Caenorhabditis elegans: one gene and its partners. The protein of the gene in region 2 purifies or fractionates together with the protein of the main gene of each other region. This does not show direct contact. Each region holds a gene or a part of one and is shown on either strand. Other genes may lie near its edges.

The links. Proteins that work in one complex are often made in the same cells at the same time.
Region 1: the proteins of R160.10 (region 2) and acox-1.2 fractionate together in Caenorhabditis elegans (co-fractionation; one large-scale study listed by BioGRID). This does not show direct contact.
Region 3: the proteins of R160.10 (region 2) and etfb-1 fractionate together in Caenorhabditis elegans (co-fractionation; one large-scale study listed by BioGRID). This does not show direct contact.

What each region holds. Positions count from the first base shown.
Region 1 is NC_003279.8:12,938,327-12,948,119, reverse strand, and holds acox-1.2 (Acyl-coenzyme A oxidase acox-1.2), read right to left. Parts: upstream 5,841-9,793; 5' UTR 5,813-5,840; coding exon 5,702-5,812; intron 5,036-5,701; coding exon 4,845-5,035; intron 4,579-4,844; coding exon 3,904-4,578; intron 3,581-3,903; coding exon 3,316-3,580; intron 3,262-3,315; coding exon 2,929-3,261; intron 2,046-2,928; coding exon 1,770-2,045; intron 1,725-1,769; coding exon 1,590-1,724; 3' UTR 1,532-1,589; downstream 1-1,531. Other genes in the region: Acyl-coenzyme A oxidase acox-1.3, read right to left, coding at 1-15, 410-570, 613-806, 1,069-1,173; Acyl-coenzyme A oxidase acox-1.1, read right to left, coding at 6,000-6,143, 6,193-6,474, 6,906-7,256, 7,304-7,568, 8,143-8,817, 9,197-9,387, 9,442-9,558. UniProt on the Caenorhabditis elegans protein: Involved in the first step of peroxisomal beta-oxidation by catalyzing the desaturation of fatty acid-derived side chains of ascaroside pheromones, which regulates development and behavior.
Region 2 is NC_003284.9:4,364,502-4,370,406, forward strand, and holds R160.10 (uncharacterized protein), read right to left. Parts: upstream 3,014-5,905; 5' UTR 3,012-3,013; coding exon 2,935-3,011; intron 2,875-2,934; coding exon 2,667-2,874; 3' UTR 2,525-2,666; downstream 1-2,524. Other genes in the region: F14H12.8 (uncharacterized protein), read right to left, coding at 315-392; R160.3 (Leucine-rich repeat domain-containing protein), read right to left, coding at 1,049-1,268, 1,542-1,687, 1,737-1,817; R160.4 (DUF4845 domain-containing protein), read right to left, coding at 4,042-4,243, 4,294-4,349; R160.5 (uncharacterized protein), read right to left, coding at 5,531-5,657.
Region 3 is NC_003279.8:2,416,930-2,424,253, forward strand, and holds etfb-1 (Electron transfer flavoprotein subunit beta), read right to left. Parts: upstream 3,425-7,324; 5' UTR 3,418-3,424; coding exon 3,370-3,417; intron 3,110-3,369; coding exon 2,642-3,109; intron 1,920-2,641; coding exon 1,668-1,919; 3' UTR 1,532-1,667; downstream 1-1,531. Other genes in the region: F23C8.13 (PDZ domain-containing protein), read left to right, coding at 253-645, 1,442-1,528; did-2 (Charged multivesicular body protein 1b), read right to left, coding at 4,033-4,509, 4,570-4,676, 4,735-4,768; F23C8.7 (Tyrosine-protein kinase), read right to left, coding at 5,476-5,670, 5,721-5,866, 5,914-6,292, 7,003-7,324.

The sequences.
Region 1 (9,793 bases), on a different chromosome or scaffold from region 2:
TTCGGAGATTGGTACCTAAAACCTACATTTTATTGTTATTTCTGAACATGGCGGTTCATTCTTTGACCTACGACTGAGCGCTAATAATTAAAAATTCTAAGAGTGAGCAGAACATTTTCGAATCTTGGTCGAAGATTGAGTCATATTTTGGATAAGTTTCTGGATCAGACTTCAAGCTTCAAAGCTTCAAGCTTCAGACTTCATCAAGCCTTCTAGACGGTCTTGCTCTAAAAGTTGGTCAAAGAAGGGTGAGCTCTTCCCAAATATCGATAGTTTTAGCTATAAATTTGTAACCTACTAGCATCTCTCGAGATGTAGTATCTCAACAAATTGTGACTTCCTACTATTTCAAGTATGGACAAGATTACTGTAACGATACGGCATACAAGTAAATAACCCCAATACTCACCATGACCCATCTCGGTCTGTGCATAACATCCAATAATCTCCTTCCTTCTAGCTCTCCCCAACCACTTCTCCTGCTGCTCTTGGCTCGCCTGTGCAACCAAAGTCGGTATGAACATTGTATCGTGAAGCGCCAACGGATGTCCCTCCATCCCCAATACCTCTCTGAAAAGTGATCATTAGTTGCAAGTTTGCTCCAACTAATACCTGTAGATGTGCAGTGCATCTTCTTCGTTGTCTCTGTTGAACGGGGTCTGATTCCAGTGTCGACTCAAAACCTCCAGCTTTCTACAGGACTCAGCGATTTTTTCCTCTCGTGTCATGAAAACTAGGGGTTTGGATTCTGCAAGCTCATGGATCCGGGAGATGGATTCAGTGAGTTGTCGACGGCGACTAGCAATCTGGAAAAGCCAACGGAGATTCTAAGCTGAATTTTAAAGCATATTTCAGGCCGGTAGAGTGACAAAAAAAAAGTAAATTTTCCCAAAAACTAAAATTTTAAAGCCTGGACGACCAAAAATCAGGCAGTTGAATGGATGCACTTTCTGCCGGGGACGGACTAACCGCGGGCCTCAGTTGTTCACCATCGAACCGTCTACGGCATTTTCATACGCCATTTGGCCTTTTGCTGCCTGTAATTTGTAGTCTATTTGCCCCCCTTACCTCTTCACGTCCATATATCACGGCAGCCATCTTATCCGTATCAAAAGTCGCATTCTTTCGTTCTTCTGTGAGATCTGAGTTATCTCCTTTGCAAATTGAGCTCATTGTACAGTCTGAAAATCGGAAAACTTAAAGGAATACATTACATTTGCAGGAGTTTCGTTTTTATAATATTTGATTTTATAACACAACATATGAGATAGAATATTTGAAAAATTTTCCAAATTCAGGTAGAACTAGAACAATGCCATAAAATCCTCAATGAGGACTGTAAGAACCAATTAACTAACTGTTATATACAAAAAATTGTAAAAAGTGTAATTTAAGAAAAAAAATCATCATTATTAAAGTGCAACAATAATTGTTTGCATTCTGAAAAATGTTGCCAATATTTATCAATTTCTTATCACATATGTATACATCAGTTGGTCTGTGATGATTTTGAATAGTTTGTATTTGTTGCTCTCTTTAGTCTGTTGACGTATTTATTTTTTAAAAGTAATATAAGAAAAATTAAAAAGTTAAAGCTTCGCCTTTTCCATCATAGGCTTTAAGTACTTCTCGACTGACGGTAGAACATCTGCGTTGTTCAAGGGACTTGACTTTGCCCATTTGAAGAGATTCTCGTAGACGTGACCATCCCGGCGGCCAAGGACCTAAAACCTCTGTGTTTCATAACTACATTGTCCCAAAATACTTACAGATCTCAATTGCATATCACTAATCTGAAAAGAGTCAACTAGAGATACTGCATTTGGTCGAATCTTCTCCAGATACAAATATAGTTGATCTCTAACATAATCCAACTGAGTGAATGACATGAATTCCAGTGCATACGTGGCAACATCCAATAGTTCATAGTTGACATGAAGATGGAGAAGATCTGTTAGAACCTCTTTCACTGGAATATCTTCAATTCGAGACACTCTTCTCATAAAAGCTTCGATTATGAATAGACGGGTGTGTAGACGGCTAGCCTGAAATTGCTGGGTGTAAAAATTGATATTTCTGGGTATACATTGCAACATTCTAATTTTTTTTAAAGTATCAGTATTTGCACACCCTTTTTAAGAATTTGGTTCAAAAACCAAAACATTTCTTCAAACCAATGAAGGTTGCATTTAAATGATAAGGTGGTTACTATCTGTTGCACTTTTGTTAACTGTGTGTTTTAATTTACATAACTATGCTTGCCAGATATTATTTCCTAGTAGCAATACAAATTATATACAACCAGTCGTTCGCATGCACAATTTGCGTACTGGCGAACGCTAAATTGTTCTAATAAATTTTAAATTGCTCATGTAACATTTTTGTACAGTTACACAATTTCCTGAAGTTTTGCGGACTTTCAAGAAAATTCTAAAACTTTCCAACTTTTATTTTAAAAAATTCTAGACTTTTCCAGATCTTTTCAGAAAATTTTAGCACTTTCCAGATTTTTTTCAAATTTTAGGCGCATTTTTTTTGGGAGAATTTATGTAGTTTTCATAACTTTAAAAATTGCCTTAAAATGAACTTTTTTGAAAATGTTTCTTCGGGGACTTGTTTCAAATTTTAAGGGCTTTCAGAATTTAATTACAAAAATTTTCTAGGGTCCAGAAGCTTCCAGTTCAATCAAAAAAACTGACCTTGGCATATAAATTACCGCATTTTTTTATTGGGATATTTTTTAGTTTTAATAACTTATAATAATAATGATATGTCTACAGGCCTTTCTTTGTGTATCTTCGAAAATTGGGCAAACAACTGAACGACATAGTTTGGATCTAGATTTCTATTGTATATTTTTGAACCACGAAAAAAACCACATCAGAGCTTTTGGAACTCAATAGTGGTAAATGTTGTAGATAAACTTACTCTAGTCAACTCCACTGCTGATTTATTCCATGCCACTTCTCTTGATTCCCCACTTTCCATCAATTTCAAGAATTTCTCTGTTGCTTTCCAAGCCTGCCTTCTAGCCATGTTCTCGAACATCTTTACATATCCATTCAGGCTGGTTAGATCAGTTTCATCACTCTTGTCTGCTAGATATGATGCCACTGGTCCTAATTTCTTAGCTTTACCGGCCTTGATAAGTTCCACGGATTTCACTAAATACCGTGCAAGTTGCAGGAGCATCACCATGTTCTCCCCTTCATAAGTGCATCCGCCAATAGCAATCCCATATACGACAGATATATAACTAGCCTGAAACAACTCCATAAAATGCTTTTTCTTTTTTACTTGATTTTCAAAACCTACCATAGAGTATCCATGTCCACCACAAGCCATCCTCGCCTGTTCAATACCTTCTCCAGTTTCATGAGCAACAACTGATTTTAAACCAGAAGTCAATGCATGTAAATCAGCCATTCCAGATGTATTACCCATATCAACATCTTTTAATAATTGAGAATATAAGTGAATTGTCTCAAATCCAGTGAATATAAATGCATACGCACGGGCTAATGATGGGAATAGACGATGCTGCTGGGTCTGGTAGTCAAGGACTTTTACTTCGACTTGCCTGGAATTTCTGGGTGGTAGAATTGAAGGTTAACGATTAATTGGGCATCGGATTTTAGTTCAAATTTCAAAGTGAATTCAGAATTTTTGGTTGTCGAAAAAATCTGAAAAAAAAGGTGAATACGTTTACATGCTATGCTACCTTTTGACAGTGACCATTGCAATTTTAATTTTTTACAAAATTACACAACTTGCTCCAAATTTTCCAGAGATCCCTGTAGGTTAAAGATAAATCTGAAGACAAAAAACGTTTCCTAGATAGAGCAAATAACATTTGAATAGTTGTGGTACTTTATGTCCAATAAAAACCACTGTTCAACTCACTTATCATCCAAATGTCCTTGCCTCCTCACTGCCGAATACCTCGCTGCAATTGTCAATGCATGTGCTAAAAACAACCCCTGCTCCATAGCCATCTGACTTCTGATCTTCACCATTCCAGAGTACCCGATCTTTGCATGCGGTGGCTTCACATACGTCCCATCCGCCTCTACTTTGCAATGTCTCATCAAAAGATTTGTTCGTGGAACTCTCAAGTTGTTCAACCCAAGGTACCCATTATCCGCCGCATTGAAGTTCATTTTAGGCCCGATATCTCCTACGGTAACGCCTTTTAGTGGAATATGGGTTTTTTCATCTCTCAGCTGCACCATAAAAAAGTGGGGGCCATAGTTATTTCTCTTTATAATCAGTTCAGCTACAACCAATGCATAGTTACAGCTCTTCCCAAGTGCTCCAGGCCACCACTTCAACGCCGTTGTCGTAGGAGTATGTAGTACAAACTCCTGGGAAGCAATGTCATAGACTGCAGTTGTTTCAAGATTCCTAAGATTTGAGCCGTGACCGAGCTCAGTTTGCGCATAACATCCAATGATCTCTCGTCGCCGAGCTCTCTCGAGCCATTTCTCCTGCTGTTCATCACTAGCCTGTGACTGAAGGGTTGGAATAAACAAAGCGTCATGGAGAGCGAAGGGATGACCCTCGTAGCCAATCACTTCTCTGGAAAGTGGGAATTTACCTGATTGTGAGAAAAGTTTAAAGGAAAAGTGGCAAACATTTGAGGTTTATTTTTTCAAAATTTTTCATGGAAGCTCTTGACGGAAATCGGTAGGCGCTAGCATATACTTCAGAACAAAGTTGCAAGCAAGCAGATAAACAATACTGTACCAGTTAACAAATTTTCTATAAACCTAAATAAAACCGACGTATGAGACAATTAAGTGAGATCTACCAAATCACACTGAATTTGAAAAGAAAATCCTTACCGATGCAGGTGCAAACTTTCTTCTTCATTATCTCTATCAATCAGCTGATTCAGATATTTTGTCAAAATCGATATTTTTCTGGTGCCCTCGGTCACCTTCTCCTCTCGAGTCAAAAATGGATAGGGCTTGATGTCGGCGAGCTCAGGGATCTTGGACACGGCGTCGGTGATCTCACGACGGCGACGAGCGAACTGAACAAATAATTTTCTATGTATTAAGACAGTTTTTTTTTCATTTAATAAGTTGACAATTAATTATTTCAAAAAAAAATGCAATCAACCAAAGTGAGGCACCAAAGTTTGAATCATTCGAAACATGGTGCATCGACGGGGATAATTTCCCTCATAAACTATGATAGTTCATTTCCCTGTTTCTTTACTGTCCAAAATCTTGATACATATGTATGTTCATGGTTTGCTGAAACCTTTACACACTACTAGAAACATTGACTTTTGCACTTTCCTGCTGATTGACAGAATATGTATTTCGTTTTATGGTCTCTATCTCTCAGAAAAAATAGTGGCTATCTAATCTTACCTAATAAAAAAAATTTTTCCGACAAAGGGAAAACGACGAAAATTGATTTTTGTGGAATTACAGGGATTTTATTGTTCAATGCCACGTGGTGGAACATGTCGTTCTAACTGATTAAGTTATACGGTGCGAAACATACATGGTCTCCACTTAAGGTATACAATATTTTTCAAGAACATGTATGTATACATTCCATTGTGCTTTAAAACATTATAAAATTTCAGCTTTGATAACTCTTGATTCATACTAAAATTATGTATAATCTGATTTTCTATTAGCCTAATAAAGCTTGTAATCAATAGTTTGTAGTTTGCAGTCCTTACCTCTTCACTTCCATAGATCACCGCTGCCATCTTATCCGTATCAAAAGTTGCCATCCTCCGTTCTTCCAGCAATTCGGGGTTATCTCCATCACGAATTGATCGGTTCGCCATGTTACTGATATCAACAAAAAAGAAGAATGGATGGATGAACTGATGGAAAGGGTATAAAAGGAGTGATGGGCGGAGTTGTGATTATTGGCCTGTACTATTTATAAGTGCAATGTTTGCATTTTCAAATATTTAACAGTATAAGCAAAGAGTATGCAAGAGAAAAAAAAATCAAAAATATAAATTAGAATTATAGCTTGCTCTGCCTGGCTTTTTCCATCATTGGCTTCAAATATGTATCCACTGACGGAAGAACATCTGTCTTGTTCAACGGACTTTCCTTTGCCCACTTGAAAAGGTTCTCGTAGACATGACCATCACGGCGGCCTAGGACCTGAAATTTCAGTTATTTAATTTTAGAACCCATTAGCTTTGGAACTTACAGATCTCAGCTCTCTATCACTAAACTCCCAGGAATCTAGCAATGAAACTGCGTTTGGTCGAATTTTCTGGAGATAGAAGTACAATTGATCTCTGACATAATCCAACTGAGTGGATGACATGAATCCATCTTCCAGTGCATACGTGGCAACATCCAAAAGTTCATAGTTGACGTGAAGATGGAGGAGATCGCTGAGAGCCTCTTTGATGGTGATATCTCCGATTTCGTTGACTCGTCTGGCAAAGGCTTCGACGATGAAGAGGCGGGTGTGGAGGCGACTCGCCTAGAAATATATACTTTTCGGACTTTTAATTTTAAGAGTGTCGCTTTTGTTACAATGTCTTAAGCTAGTGTGTTCAGAATCTTTAGTCATCTTTAACTTTAAATACGGCTCTGGTATCTAGTATGCACCCTAATATAGAGCCCAAAAAAGGTTTCGGATTTACAAAATTCTACCAGATTTCACCAGTTTTTGCTACATAGCAAATGCACTTTTCCAACATTTTGGTGTTTGAACTAATTTTCCTAGTAAGGTTGCAGGGACAACTGATAAGAATTCAATGATTGTTGACAAATATTGATAAACAAGCTCAAAAGTGCATCTAAAGTTTTGCAGGTTTTGCATTTTCTGCAAGGAAATGGGCAAATGGACATCAAGGCCACAATGTACCATCACTCGTATTCTCAAAAATCACAAGCATAAGTCAAACATACCCTATTCAACTCCACGGATGACTTGTTCCAGGCGATTTCTCTCTTTTCTCCATTCTCCATTAATCCGAAGAACTTGTTGGCAGCCTTCAACGTCTGTCTCTTTGCGATATGTTGGAATGTCTTGATGTATTCCGTGATTCCACCATTTGGAACTCTATCTATCAGGCTAGTTGGCTCACTTCTGGCGCCCAAGTAGGCTACCAGTGGTCCAAGCTGAGAAGCTTTTCCGGACTTCACAAGGGCAGCGGATTTGACGAGGTAACGAGCGAGTTGAAGAAGCATAACCATATTTTCTCCTTCATACGTGCATCCTCCAATTGCAACTCCGTAGATTTCAGAGATGTAACTAGCCTGAAACATTCCTTTAGAATTTGCAATTTCAATTATAACATTCCTACCATAGAATATCCATGCCCACCACAAGCCATTCTCGCTTGTTCGATACCTTCTCCAGTTTGATGAGTAACAACTGATTTTAAACCAGAAGTCAATGCATGTAAGTCAGCCATAAGAGACACATTTCCAGATTTCATCTCCTTGAGTACTCGTTCGTAAAGCTTCACGGTCTCGGCACCAGCAAACTGGAAAGCGTAGGCACGGGCGATGAATGGGAAGAGACGGTGCTGCTGGGTTTGGTACTCGAGCACTTTTACCTCTGGTTCACTGGAAAGAGGATAAGTGAGGATGGGGTTTGCAAGTAATTAAGTTTCTCGTAATTCGCACGTGGTGTCAAAGTGTCCCATTTTGGTTTGTTCTACGAAAAATGCGGGAGAAGAGATGCAGATTTTTCAACTGATTTTGCGTGATGACGTCACATTTTCCTGGGGGAAAATTCCCGCATTTTTTGTTGATCAAACGTAACATTTTTCGTAACATTTACGTTGTATTGTTTAACAGGCGTAATTCATATCGTAGTTCGTAATTCGTAACAGTAACAAAACTGAGAAGTTATGTAAGTTGTGAGTGGCACAGCGAAGTCTGTTATTTACGGAACTTCTATATATAAAGGTAATAGACGTACTACATAGGTATGCACATAAAAGTATTGATGTATAGTTATAGTTATGATCATTCTTACTAAAGACGAATCTATTTTCAAGCCATGAAATAAGCTTTTTAGTTATGAAAAATATATTTAGAGATAGCTCAACCCAAGAAATTCAACCTATAACCCTTTTTTATTTTACTAATAGTAGTTGGTATTCTTCAGATCTTATTCATAAAAGTTCCAACTTACTTTTTATCAATCTGCCCCTGTCTTCTCACTGCCGAGTATCTTGTTGCAATATTCAACGCATACGACAACATAATCGCCTGTCCAGTAAGCATATAACTTCTCACATGTACCATTGCAGAGTAATTGATCTTTGCATGTGGTGGTTTGATATAAGTCCCGTCAGCCTCTACTTTGGTATGTCTCATCAAAAGATTCGTTCTTGGGATACGGTAGTTGTTGAAGCCTAGGAATCCATTGTCTACAATATTATAAGCCATTTTTGGTCCAATATCTCCAATTGTAATCCCTGGAAGTGGTTTGTGAGTTTTCTCGTCTCTCAATGGAACCATGAAGGTATGTGGTCCAAAGTTCTTTCCCTTTATATACATATGTGCAACTACAACTGCATAGTTGCTGCTTTTTCCAAGATTCCCTGGCCACCACTTCAATGCGGTGATCTTTGGAGTGTGAAGCACAAACTCCTGAGTTCCAATGTCATAAGTAGCAGTTGTTTCCAGATTTTGAAGATTTGTGCCATGACCCATTTCAGTTTGGGCGTAGGTTCCGATGATTTCTCGTCGGAGCGCTCGAATGAGCCACTTGGCTTGCTGCTCATCACTAGCTTGAGCGTTGAGGGCTGGAATGAACATCACACCGTGAAGAGCCATAGGATTTCCTTCGATTCCGAGAACTTCGCTGGAAAATTATTGATTTTCTGGGAAAATGCTCAGTTTGAAGAGCTCTTTCATTATTAAACTTGTATTTTTGTATTATTCTACTTTGATTTTTGATATGATAAACTAAAGTACAGTGAGCGTAACTTCTTTAGAATCGCCCTTAATCTGGATGGTTTCGCACGTAAAAAAAAAATGAAAGTTCGGCGATGTTTTCAAAAATCTCATGAGATCCCAAAGAATTGCTTTTCCTTATTTTTACGTTATCATAATAAAATTTTTGTACCAAAAACTATTTCATATGCTGAATCTGATTTCTAAATTAATTTTCCATGTAATTTTAGGAAAAATCCTAAGCCTGTCAAACGAAGGGTATTAGTCCAAGAAAAAAGTCCACTTACTTGTTCAAATGATACAACTCGCCTGCATCAGTTGGATCAATGATCTCTGACATTCTTTGTGTCAAAACCGTCAGTTTCCTAGCACTTTCCATAATTTTCTCCTCTCTTGTCATATACGGAAGTGGCATCGAGTCATGGAGCTCTGGGATTTCTGCAAGCTTCGCGGTGATCTCACGACGACGACGGGCGCGCTGGAAACATTAGAGACAGTTATTCAAATATTCCATTTTGACTAGATAGCTTACCATTTCTCCCCCATAAATCTGTGCAGCCATCGCATGAGTATCAAATGTTGCCGTCAAGCGTTCGGCAGTGAGATCCGGGTTATCACCCTCCTGAATTGTTTTGTTGAGATGCACCATACTAAAACTGACAAAGTTTTAAAAATTTGAAAAAAAAACATATGTGGTTGAAATTGATAAGTACGAAGTACTACAAAGTTAAAAAATATCAATAAGTTGTACGAAAATTGAAACTCTTGGCTCGAATCTAACGCAGCGGTTCAAAAAGTATTACACCTGCCATGACAGTTAAAACTTAGACTTATAAAAATGCATCTACAAAAAAAAGAGGAAATACGGTATCTTAGTGAAACTT
Region 2 (5,905 bases):
AAATACTGGCAATAATTGAGTTTTTGCTACTTTTTGAGAAGTATGTTCAAATCTCTACAGTGAAAGGAAGATTAATATTTTAAACATACATAAGTTTCATGAGAACATACATAAGAACATAAAATTCGGAGGAATTTTTTCATTTTTGGTCGATAACTTCCAAAATGTAGCCAAACCTGACTGATTACCACTTTTTTGAAACAAATAAAAAGTTTCAAAAATTTTTTGAAAACTTTTACCACGATGTTCAGTCATTTTATCACCATAGAAGCGGTTTCTAACATTTTTTCCAACTGTTGCTACTATTACCTTACCGTAAAGAGGTCCTTATTCAAACAATTCGTCGGTAACGTCATCGCGTATAGCATGATCAATAAAATGAAGATTTTCATCACCTCCTGCTGACCATGAAATTGGGGTCGAATGCTCTAAATCTTCAGTGAGAAAAGGTTCTGTAAAAGTGCGCTGTTTTTAATGGAAACATTGATAGAAAATTTCCCCGAAATACGACAGATGTAGGAATGTAGTGGAAATAGTATATGAAGTTTCAGAAGAAAACAGTCAGATTGAAAACATCTGTTGTCACCGACCCTCGTGAGATTTGTTATCGTCAGACTCAAAAAATAATTCGCCCACCGAAAAGTGTTTTTGGTGTTAAATACAAGTAAGCTTTTAGACTTTGCTCATCGTAAAAACTATGAAACAGAAAAAAAGTCGGGGACTTCCAACGGAAAATTTGAGCGCAATGTTTATCTTCCTCGTGACATTCAAGGTTGCTGAAGAGAGAAATGTTCAGTTGAGATGGAATTCAAACGGTTTACTGAGAGGCTTTTATACTTTAAAATCAAAAATTTTTTGAAAATAAAATCATCAACTGGTTTGGTTTTCGAAGTGAGCAATCAAGACACCCATGTGTCAGAAAAGGCAGAGAGGGACAAAGGAGCACGTTTAGAAAACATTAGAAAAAAAAAAGGAAAACTTGAAAAATAACTACTAGAACAACGAAAAATACGGGAAACTTCAAACCAATACAAAAAAAACAAATAATTCAAATAATCATATCAAGGTCCACAGAGATGGTTTCACTTTTGATGCTTTCGTTGTCTTCCTTTCCGTATGCTTTTGCGTAGGCGTTTCTCGAACTGCACGGGTCAGCGAGGAAGTCCGAGAAGTAGTTCCTAAGACGGATGAGAAGCTTGCTTTCTTTCTTCATTCTACGGACCTCTTTGATAAGGCGGCTGGTGAAGAGGTACATCAGGATTGTCAATCTAAAAATTTAGAACTTTGAGTTTCAATATGTTGAACGGGGTTTGTAGGCGTAAGATTCTGGGTTGCCTAGTGAAGTTTCTAGTGAAGCACAAGTCTCAGTGTTTGGAGGAAACTTTCTTGTTGGCAGATAGTTGTAAGGTCAGCTTACACCGACAACAAATTATCAAACTGGGACAGAAAGTTTTCACAATTACACAGAAAGTTATCAAACGTCGGCAGGAAAAATTTGTAAAACACACTACTGGTATGCTCTAAAACAAAAAAAAACTTACACAATTCCGCAAAGCGATGCCCAGAAGAGAAATCCCGTTTCTTGCCACCAAGCGAAACAATCGTAAGTAGCACCAACTTCTTCGATAGACACATCCAACGTTGCAGTGTCTGTAGACTTTTCCGTAATGCTGCTGGTATTTCCGGCCTGAAAAAAAAATCAATTTTTAAATCTGATAAACATATTTGAAGTTTACCTCAATTTGGTCTGTTTTCACAAAGAGTCCACAATTAATCAACATCAGGATACATATGATCCCGGCAGTCGCTAACTTCATGATGAGCCTGAAACAAGAAAACAATTAAATCTATAGTGGAAGCAACACAATGTGATAATGAGAACTGGGAAATGGTACATGAGTCGAGAAGGAGGGACGAAGAAACTTATGTGCAGCGGATCTCTGTGTTTCTGTGCGCCTCTTTGACTGTATTCATCACTCCGTTTATTGCCCAGATATTCGTCACTCGCTGCTCATCACGGGGCAATGCACAGATTGAGTAGATGGAAGAAAATTGGCAGATGCTATATGCGCACAAAAAAATGTTGGAAAGGGAACATGAAAAAGTGGTGAAGAGGGCAAGGGGGATTGGAGGCGAAGAGCAAATACTGTGTAAAAAACACATCAAAAACATAAACCTCTATTCTTAATTGATTGAGAGACTTGCAAGTATGTACTGGCCGAGCCAATAATCTATGAGTGCATAGATTCAAACTCAGTAAACAATTACAATTTGAATTTGCATGAGTCGCTGCTCAGTGTGATACGGAGCCATTGAATTCTCTGAGCAGCGACGCTTTTAAAACAAAATAATTCGAGTTTGTTGATATATAGAGAATGTTTTTGTAATGTCTGGAAATAATTCTATAACTGGATACTACACAACAGTACGAAAAAAAGGGACACATGACAAAAACCTATTGATCTAATTTTCGTATATATTGCAAATTGGGGCTAAATGGAATCATTTTGAAATTGCCAATTTATTCAGTAATAACTTTATACATATAAAAATTAAACACAAACTTATGTTCTCTCTAGGTTTCAATGATAATTATGACAATTTATTGAAATGTGTGGTATGATTATGCGGGTTATAGCAATTGGGAAAATAATACAATAAGACACTTAAACGCGTGAATTGTTGATAGGAGCTCGTGACAGCAATGGTAGTCTTCCTGGTAATGGGTCGTTAGTTGTTCCAAGTGATGCTAGGGGTATAGACCCTTGAGCGTTCTCAGCGTCCTCATCTCCTTCCAGCTCTGGCCGGCAGCAACTTCCTCTCCGTCCACAGCAACCGTACTTTTGCATGATGTAGTCTACCAAAAAACCAATGCTGGAAATTCAAAAATGTTCATTTTGTTTTTTAAAAGACTCCTGAAAACTTTGTTCTCACCTGAGACACGAGAGGACAACAACCAAAAAAATGAGCATCGGCGGAACATGATATTTGATTGTTTGAGCTGTTTCCATCTGACAAATAATTCGGAATGTTGAACAAAAAATGAAACTTATAAATATGAGACAAGGATTAACAACCTTGTGGGATATAGTAATAGAAGATAAATCGGTAATAATTTAAATACGTTTATTGGTGTAAAAAAGTAATGGGCAATCGGTAGGGTGTATCAGGAAACATCTATGATTAGCAGTACAATTTCTGAAATTAATTCCCATTAAAAAATTTGAAAAAAATAGATGACAGCAACCTCTAAATGGTAGCTTCAACTCGGATGACTGTGGTTCGAGCAATGTGTTTATGCATGTTTTGAAACACCTCGGCAATGAAGTACCAAATTCTAAAATTTTGGATAAAATTGAATTATTTTTTGAAAGTGGAATAAGAAATTACATGACCACCGCCGAAGTCAAACCGATAACTATCAAAAATCCAATGGTCACTAAATTCTGGACGTCCATGGTAAAGTTTGAGTTGTATAAAAATGAGGTATCTGAATCTTGAAATGAGATGTGTGCGATATATTTTTCAATCGCCGATAATGAGAATTGAAATGTTTTATAAAAGCGTGTACATGTATGCATTTTAGACCAGAATTTTTACTCCTCACACAGAAAAAAAATGTCTGACGAAATAATTAACACATGAATTACGTCAAGGTTAAATTTTACAATCATAAATATGGTTTAAGAAAAGTTTAAGAATTCCAGTAATCCGAAATTTGGGCAATTTCAGCCAGTTCCAAAATTGCTCACTGCAGCAAATTCAAAAACCAGCAATTGCTCAACTTACCAATTACCGCACACCTCTGATCAAACCAAAATAATAGTTATGGTTTGGCAACCTAACAATACCAAAATATTAACCAAAACGGAAGGGCACGCTAAAATTTATCCACAAAAAAGTTATTCGAGAGCTACTAAAAAGAAATAGTCTATACTACTGTATTTCAATTTTATCGTTGTTACAAATTATGAATACATATGGTGCATGTTGATCGTCTGTAATAAAATTTTGAAAAAATTTACGAACATTTTTCTTACTTTAAATAGGAAGAAGTGGAACAGTGTCTATGATCACTTTGTTGGCAGCATATACTTCCAGCCCATGCATTTGCTCCAGTTGCTCCACGTCAAGAGATACAAATCCTTGTGGACGACTTGGCTCCTCTTCATCCTCAAATCTTTCGAAAAAACGGGGCTGTGGGAAGAACCATTCTCTGATGAGAGTTATGAATAGGATGATGCTATAATTTCCATAACTATTTAAAAATAATTTCAGATCATCGTCACTTACAAAAATATTGACCAAATTAGGAGCAAGATGAGATAGATGCATTTGATGATGTCCATGTTGAAACAAGTCATGCAGGTTTGCGAAATAGTAATTGAAACTAACAAAAAGTTAAGAAGGATAATTAATTAAATATACAGGTATACTTATTGGTTTCAACCAAAATCGATATGAAAAATTGTTCAGAAATTGACATATGTAACATCAACATTCATTAACAAAAAAAGGAGATCAATAATTAATCTGTGCAGTGCTAACAATGACAAATGTCTACAATAGTATTGCATTCAGACCTGAAAAATATATGCTCTCAGTTTTGAAAAAAATATATGTTTCCCCGAAATTTCCTGCCTTTCTACTTATTTTCTCACTGACAATGAACATGTTCAAAAATAAGGAAAAAATCCTTAATAAATTTTATAAAAGTTTAGAGAAACGACTTAAAAATACGAAGAAATTTAAAATAAAATTGCAAACTAATTCTTAAATCATTAACAAAAGTTTTGAAAGTTTTTTTTAGTACTGGCATTTTAAGTTTTAAAAATAATGAACCCAACTTTACTGTACTTTTGTCATTTACGATCCATTCTTTAAAATTTTAAGAGATTAATTTATGGATCCTTTTGATTGCAAATCAAAATGTATCTCGGCATACTCTTTAAAATTTTTTCAAACTTACTTCCCTACATTGCAATATAAACTTTGTTATACAAAAAGTTATAATTAGGAAATTAAAAGTTTTGTACGTTTGCAAAAGTATTTGCCGTACATCCCTACCGTACCCAAAAAAAAAATAATACTTACTTTTAATAATTTTGTCACAAGATTTCAAATCATTTTAATCATCTCCTCACAGAATTCATTTCTTTCATATGAGCGCTCCACAACAAAAACTCGTGACTGTATGCCTTCACGTTGTCGGGCTTTTTGTATTGACTTGATTGCAGTTCCCGCAAAACATACTGCCCATGCGACATCAGCAATATAGCACGCGCTGAAAAATTCAATTGTTCATTGCAAAACGTTGAATATTATTTAATTACACAATCACTCCCCAGACTAGAGCCAGGCAAACCAGCAGCAGAACAACGAGTGGCGGAATGGTGCTCTCAATGATAAAATAAATTCTGAAGTTTTTTTTTTGAGCTATTTGAACAATGAGCACAATTAATTACGTAATCTCTGGGTTTAAAACCACTTTTCAAATTTACAAATCACAATATAACACTTATTTTTATTGCTATGCATCATTCAAATTTTTCTCAGCTGTATAATAACTTTTAACAACATTGATTTTGTTCAATTCTTCTTTTTCGAGATTAGAGTGTGACGGTGAGCTCATTCTTGCTCCGAACACTGCACAGACTCTGAAAATTTATGTTGAACTGTGGAAGACCAGAATTGAAGCTTACAACGACATGCAAACGGCCAATGCAATCACAAATACCAAATAACTCAATGCAGCCAAAACACCAGGAAGAAGCATATTGTGTATATAATTGGAAGTTAATGTAAAATGAATAAACATTCAACAAGCATAAGAAAAAAAAAGATTTAACCGGAGTTCTACCGTTTTAAAAGTAACGAAATTACACAGAAAATTCTCACAAAATTG
Region 3 (7,324 bases), on a different chromosome or scaffold from region 2:
GGGGAAAAATTATTATACACATATGTGCATAATCGCGGCAAGACCCAAGAAAAAAGAAGAAGAAAAAGCCAATTTAGTGAGCACTTGAATGAGTAATAGGGCTCGCTCAAGTCCGATGAGCCGCGGGTACACATAATTGGATGGCCGCTACTTTTTCTTTTCTTTTTTTCTTGAGCTCAACATGCTTAGCTGCACTCATAATTCAGTTAGGGGTCACTTTTTTTTTCGAAAAAAATTCTAAAAAACTTCCAGAGCACACATCTTCGAGAAGGCGATCGTCTACTCCGGTGCAACAAGATCTCACTTCGCGCCGTTTCCGTAGATCAGGCGGCGAGCATCTTCCGATTCTGGATGTCCCGCTCCGATTCGCTGACTCTGTTGATCGAACGAAGATCCGACGGTGAGAGTGTGATGATGCGGCGTCGGCGGCAGGCGAGGCTCTCAATGTGCAATGAGCAGCGGGAGCAGACACGACACGTCGTTTCAGGGCGAGCCACGTTACGGATGACGTCATCAAGGTCGGCAGAGGTATTCCGGTGTGGGGACTCGACGTCGTTCCGCATGAAATCTCCGAAATACGAGTCATTCAACACATCATCGCCCTCAAAATCCATATGTCCCCAGTGCAATTCTCAGACTAGAATGGTAAGTTTTTCTTTTTTTTTTTCATTCCAAAAATTCCAATATTACGGGAACTTAAAAATTCTTAGAATGCGTATTTCGCAACATATTTGACGTGCAAAATATGAAAATATCTCGTAACGAAAACTACAGTAATTCTTTGAATGACTACTGTAGCACTTGTGTCGATTTACGAAAATGATTTTTTGTTTGAAAAACGAAGAAAAATTGAATATCTTTGTCACTATTCGAAATGAAATTCATTTCAATATTCGAGCCCGTAAATCGGCCTACAGTAGTCATTTAAAGAATTACTGTAGTTTTCGCTACGAGATATTTTCATATTTTGCGCGTCAAATATGCTGCGCTGTACGCATTCTCAGAATGTGTGAGTTTCCGTAATACTATAAAGTGCAATTGCGCTCCACGGACAAATCTCCACCCCAAACCGTTGGGTCTCGTTAGGAATTGGCGGGAAAACCGTTTTTGCCAATTTTCCAGCATTTTTCGCTGTTTTCAATGAGTTTTTTTTTGTCAAAATTGAAAAAGTTAATGTCATAATCATTTTTAACCATAATTTCGGCATAAAAACATAAAAAATAACGAAAAATGCTTGAAAACGGGTAAAATCGTCGGAAGTAATCGTTATTTCGACCTAAAACTTATAAAAAATATGAAAAAAAGCTTAAAAATTGGCAAGAATAATGTAAAACATTTGAATTTCCCGTCTTGCCGCCAAATATTTACCTAACGAGACCCATCGTTTAGGGGCGGGGCGCGTAATTTTTCGCGCCCAGATAATAATCCGTAATATTTCCAGATCTACCTACACCAATTCTCCCATGGTTTTGTGAACAATGCATTCCGTTTTTTGATCGTTTCCCGTTCAAGCTATTCACTTTTATGAACAAAAATAATTTTTCATACTTTTTTAAACCTGCATCACATAAAACATTGAATAGAAAAAATAATAAAAATAATTTAAATACAAAATTTTCTGATTCGACTACTACAATAATTCAGCGGCGGAAGAGGTTATCGGGGGCTTAAGCCTTGACGAATCCCTTCTCCTTGAGCTTGGCGACAAGTGCCGAGACATCGTCGACGAATCCTCCGGCCTGGCGAACTGGTGGCTCGGTGACTTCAAGAGTTTCAGTTTGTGGTGTGATATCTACATTCAGATCTTTGATTGGAATGTTCTTCAGTGGCTTCTTCTTGGCCTTCATGATGTTTGGAAGAGTCGCGTAGCGGGGCTCGTTGAGGCGAAGATCGGCGGATAGGACGAATGGCACTTTGACCTGGAAAATAGAAAATTTTTCGAATAAAACTTTAGATCCGTGAATTTTGCAAACAAAATAGCGGCGCGCAGAAATAGGGGCGGGGCGTTATTTTGCAACCTTGCGGCACGGTTTTTCCTCCTTTTTTCGCTTTTTCAATTTTTCATGTTTTAATCTCCTTTTTTTTCGAATAAGAACGTTATTTAATTAACTATCAAAATTTATTAATCGATCCTTGAATTTTGCAAGAAATTTTGTCGCCCAGAAAGTGGGGCGGGGCATAGCTTTTGCAACACTGCCGCACGGGGTTTGCCTCCGCCCCTTTTCTACTGCTTTTAAGCTTTTCTTGTTGATTTTTTCAATAATTTCTTTTTTTTTCGAATGAAAATCCAATTCGAAAAAAAAGAGAAAAATCGAAACTTTATTGAAAAAATCAACAAAAAAAGCAGTGGAAAAGGGGCGGAGACAAACCCCGTGCGGCAGTGTTGCGTAAGCTACGCTCCGCCCCACTTTCTGTGCGACAAATTTTTGCAAAATTTAAGGATCGATTAATAAATTTTGATTTTAAATTAAATAACGTTCTCATTCGAAAAAAGAGATTAAAACATGAAAAATTGAAAAAATCAAACAAAAAACAAGCGGAAAAAGGAAAAACCGTGCCGCAGGGTTGCAATATCAAGCCCCGTCTCGCGTTCTGTGCGGGGCTGCTTTTCACGGCTATCGATCGATATAGTAAGAATCACCTTAATCGTGTCAAGACCTCCATCAATTTCACGGGTGACCTTCATGTGTCCAGCGCCTGCGTCTTCAACCTTCGACGCGTAGAGAGCCTGTGGCCACTCGAGCAGGCCAGCGAGAATCGGAGCAGTTTGCGACGAATCATCATCGATTGCCTGCTTTCCGAGAAAAACCGCGTCGAACTTCTCCTGCTCGACAATCTTCTGAAGCGCCTTCGCCACGTGGAATGACTCGAGCTTGCCAGCTTCGGCGTCGGTCACCTGAACGTGAACTGCCTTGTCGGCGCCCTTCGCCAACGCGGTCCGGAGCACTTCGGCGGATTTTGGTCCGCCGAGCGAGAACGCGACGACTTCGGTGGCGAGCTTCTTCTCCTTGAGCTTGACGGCCTCCTCTAAAGCGATCTCGTCGAATGGATTCATGCTGTGTTGAACTCCTTCGGTGACGACTCCCGAGCGGTCCGGCTTGACACGGATCTGGAAATTTTGGGCTTTTATAGAATCGAAATGTGTCTAAAATCTCCAATTTATCCAAGTTTTCCGTGTCACAGCGGTTGGAAATCAGCTTTTATTGCCAATTTTAATCGATTTTCCGTTGATTGGGGTACACTTTGAGCCAAAAATGACAAAAAACTGATTTCCAACTGCTGCGACACGGAAAAGTTGGTGAAATTCAAGATTTTCGCCGAAATTAAGCTGTTTTTTCGAATTTTTTGCTCTTTTTCCTGAAATCCTACCTTGACAGCATAGTCGACAACTCTCTTGACTCCGACGAGAATCTTCATCGCTTGGCTGGAAGAAAAACTGGGAATAAATTTATTTATTTATTAATAAATGAAGAAATGATCGAAAAAAACAGCGGCGGCGGGGTCAAAGTACACACTTCAGAGTTCAGAATTTGATTTTTAAATTTGAATCAATTAATTAAAGCCGAAATTCGAAATTTTAGCCGAAAAATGTTTAAAATAGCTTTAAAACTGCCACGTTTTTCCTTAAAAACCTTCGAAAATTCCGTTTTTTATAGAAAATTCGTGAAAAATAAGAATAAAAATAATAAAACAAGTGATGAGAGAGATAAGACGATGTGGAGAGAGAGTGTGGGAAGACGAGAGACGCAGAGAATGAAACGCGGGCGGTGATTGTTGTGGCCTACACGTAAGCGACCGATTTGTAGAAAAAATGTTCTGAAAAATAAAAGAATAAATATTTCGAAGAAGACATGAGCTGAACTTCGTAGATCTAGATAGATTAGATAAAACAAAAAAAAAGCAGAAAAATTGTTGCTTCATTATTGAGAGAAATGTTGTATATACAAGAAAAAAAGCAGTATCTTAATTTTAAAAATGAAACCGTCAGCAGAATATTCATATTCACAGAAATTTCTTGAGAAATCTGGAAGATCACATGTTGCGAAGAGCAGCCAGGCGTTCTGTGAGGTCCTTGTCTTCTGAAACAGCTTGCGTCCCGGTCGGCAGAGCAGTTGGCACGTTTGACGGAAGCTCCTGGTTGAGCTCGATGCCTGCCTTGTCGGCGGCCTCTGCAATCAGAGCATCCACCTGTGACTTCGGAGCATTCAACACTGTCGTTCCGTCCATCGTCTTTTCCATCGTCTTTGTGGTCACGTCGAGATCTTCGAAATCTCTTTCGAATCTATCCATCAACTGTTGAACTTTCTCGAGATTCATGCTCTTCATGGCGCTTTCCATGGCTTTCACTACGCCGCTCATGCTGGCGGTTACTCGTTTTTGTGTGGCGGCGGTTTGAACTCGGGCGGCCACTGCGTCGATTCTGGCGGCCATTTTAATGTAGTTCACTGCTTCATTCTTCTTCCTGATCGCATTTTCAGCATGAACCTGTGCGACTTCTTTGTTTCCTTTCTGGAAAAAATCGAATTTAAAAAATAATTGTTTTTTTTTTCATTTTTAATTATTTTTTACCTTAATAGCTGCCGTCAGCTTGTCTTTCTCGACCTTTTCATCCTTCTCGCATCGTTGAGCATTCTTTTCCAACTGTTTCGCTGCGAATTTAAGATCAAATAAGTGTTCTGGAAGATAAAAACATGAAAATAAGTCAAAATCAAGAGAAATCAATTTGAAACTCACTTTCCAAGGCCATACTGCTTTCTCCGGCTCCCATGATGATTTTATGTGTATTAAGCTGGTATTTGAGTTTCTGAAATACGAGAATTACGGTGAGAAAGTGCTTTTATAAGTTAAATTTCGCAAGAAAGCGATAAAAACAAATTCATGAGTCATGTGTGTGTATCTGCGGACTTTACGTCATAAACGACGACACTTGATGTCCGCAAGCAGCGGATCTTACGACAATTTTGGGTTGTAGAAATTTCTGTATTTTAAGTCGGTTTCAGGCTATAAAACACAAAATTATCAACGTCAAAAATATTTCCAGATCCGCTATATGAATTTGAAAAAATTAACATCGTAATTTCACCGATAGATAAAATCGCACAAAAATAAACTACCATAAACTTTTTTGCGTGCCAAGACCAATCTGAATAAATCTGTGCGCCTTTCTTTGAAAATTACTGTAATTATCGACTTTTCGTAGTTTTTTTGTAAAAAAAATTGAATTTATTCATCAATAAACTAACAAAAAACAGTATATGTTTTAACAAATCAAAAGAAATAAAAAAATTGAAGAAAATACCGCAATTTTTAAATTACAGTACTCTTTAAAGGCGCACACCTTCACGCATTTAACAAACAATTGTCGTTTCGAGACCAGGTACCGTATTCTTCTCTCGAATTCTCAGGGTAATAAAACAATTTTATTAACATCTCAAGTCAAAACTATCAAAACTTTATTTCCGAACAAATCAAAGATCACTTCGGCTTCTTCTTGTTGTTTCTCTTCACCGAGAACATTGGCGGCTTCATCGTCTTCATCTCCTCCTCGGTCGAGCGATTGCTCGATAGAATCGATAGAACCACTGGCTTCATCCCAAAAGTTGTCTGAAGATAGCGCAGAACATCCGCCATGCTCACACGATCCGCCGGATTTTCAGCCCAGCAGTGCTTCTGAAAAATGAGAAATTAGTAATTAGCTATAATTTCAGATTCAAACCAACCGTGACATAGTCGCCGAATCTGAAGTCCACAAAGACCGGATCAAACCGCATGCGGTATCCATTACGGACCTTTCCGACGACGTCAGCAACTCTCATGTCTGGGTACGGCTCCTTCCCATTCTCAGTGATCTCCCAAGCCATTATTCCTGAAAAAATGTCTATTTTATTTGAAAATGTTATTGGAAAGACTAACCGAACGCAAACACATCAGTCTTCGGACTATAAATCCCCGCTTTCAACGTCTCCGGAGCCAACCAACGAATCGGAACCTTCTTCGTCAGGTCCATGACATACGAGATTCCCTCACGGGATAACCCAAAATCCGCAATCTTGACCTGACCACCTCCATACAGGCAATTTCTCGCCGCAATGTCTCGATGTAGAAGTTTCTTCTCGTGCATATACGAGATTCCACACGCTGCTTGGTAGATCATCTCCATCTTCTTGTCGGGCACCAAATTCGGATTCTTCTGAAGGTACGAGTCCAGGGCTCCACAATCCGCCAACTCCATGATGACGTACAGCGGCTCCTGGCTTGCACCAACTCCGTAGAATTTAACGACATTTGGATGCTGCAAAAAAATTAAATTTTTGGGCGAAATCGAAATTTAAAAGGAGTTTTCGAGTTTTTCAGAAAAAATAACTCAAAATTTCTTCTATTTTTCAATTTTTCACAAGATTTCAGTGAGAAATCATTGCGTTTTCATGTAACCTGGGTCCCACCACGACTGTAAAATTTTTCTCAGTTACCGTACTCGCGAGTACGCACGCTTCTGGCTTCCCTTGAAATGGAAGAGTTTTTGCCGAACTAGGCCATTTTGGCTCGACCATATCTGGGGTAGATTTACGGCGCGTTGCGTGTCGCGTCGCGGCTCGGTTTTAGTTGTAAAACTAAATGTATTTGTCCGTGTAGAGTACACGACTTTTCCACGCGTTATCCGGCGGGCGATTGTCAATGGAGCGCGAAAAATTCAATGAGGAAGGCTAGAACCCCGTGTAGTTTTACAACTGAAATCGAGCCGCGACGCGACACGCAACGCGCCGTAAATCTACCCTAGACATGGCCGAGCCAAAATGGCCTAGTTCGGCAAAAACTTCCATTTAATTTGATGAGGGAAGCCAGAAATCCGTGCTCGGTCCCGTCACGCCTATGAAATTTTTCTCAGCTACCGTACTCGCGAATACGGGTACTGTAGCTGTGAAAGTTTCAGTCGTGTCGGGACCCAAAAGTCACGTTTTTCATAGATTTTCAGAGAATTTTCCCTGAAAAATATCAACTTACATCGAGATTTCTCATGAGCCGGGCTTCTCGCATAATTTCCTTGATTTGCTCCTTGTTCAGTGACTCCAGTTTGGCGGTTTTGATGGCACAATTCTCGACATTTCCATTCTTCAATGTCAGCTTTCCTTTCCAAACCTCGCCAAAAGCTCCTTCTCCCAACTTTTTCGTGAGCTCCACCTGCGAATGCTCAATCTCCCATGGTTGCTTCAAGATCGGAGTCTTCAGCACTGTCAGCTTCTTGATGGGCTCTTTCGAGGACATGTAGTAGTTGACGAGGGAGGCGATCGTCTCGAAACCTTTTGCTTCCAAAAATATTTGGTTG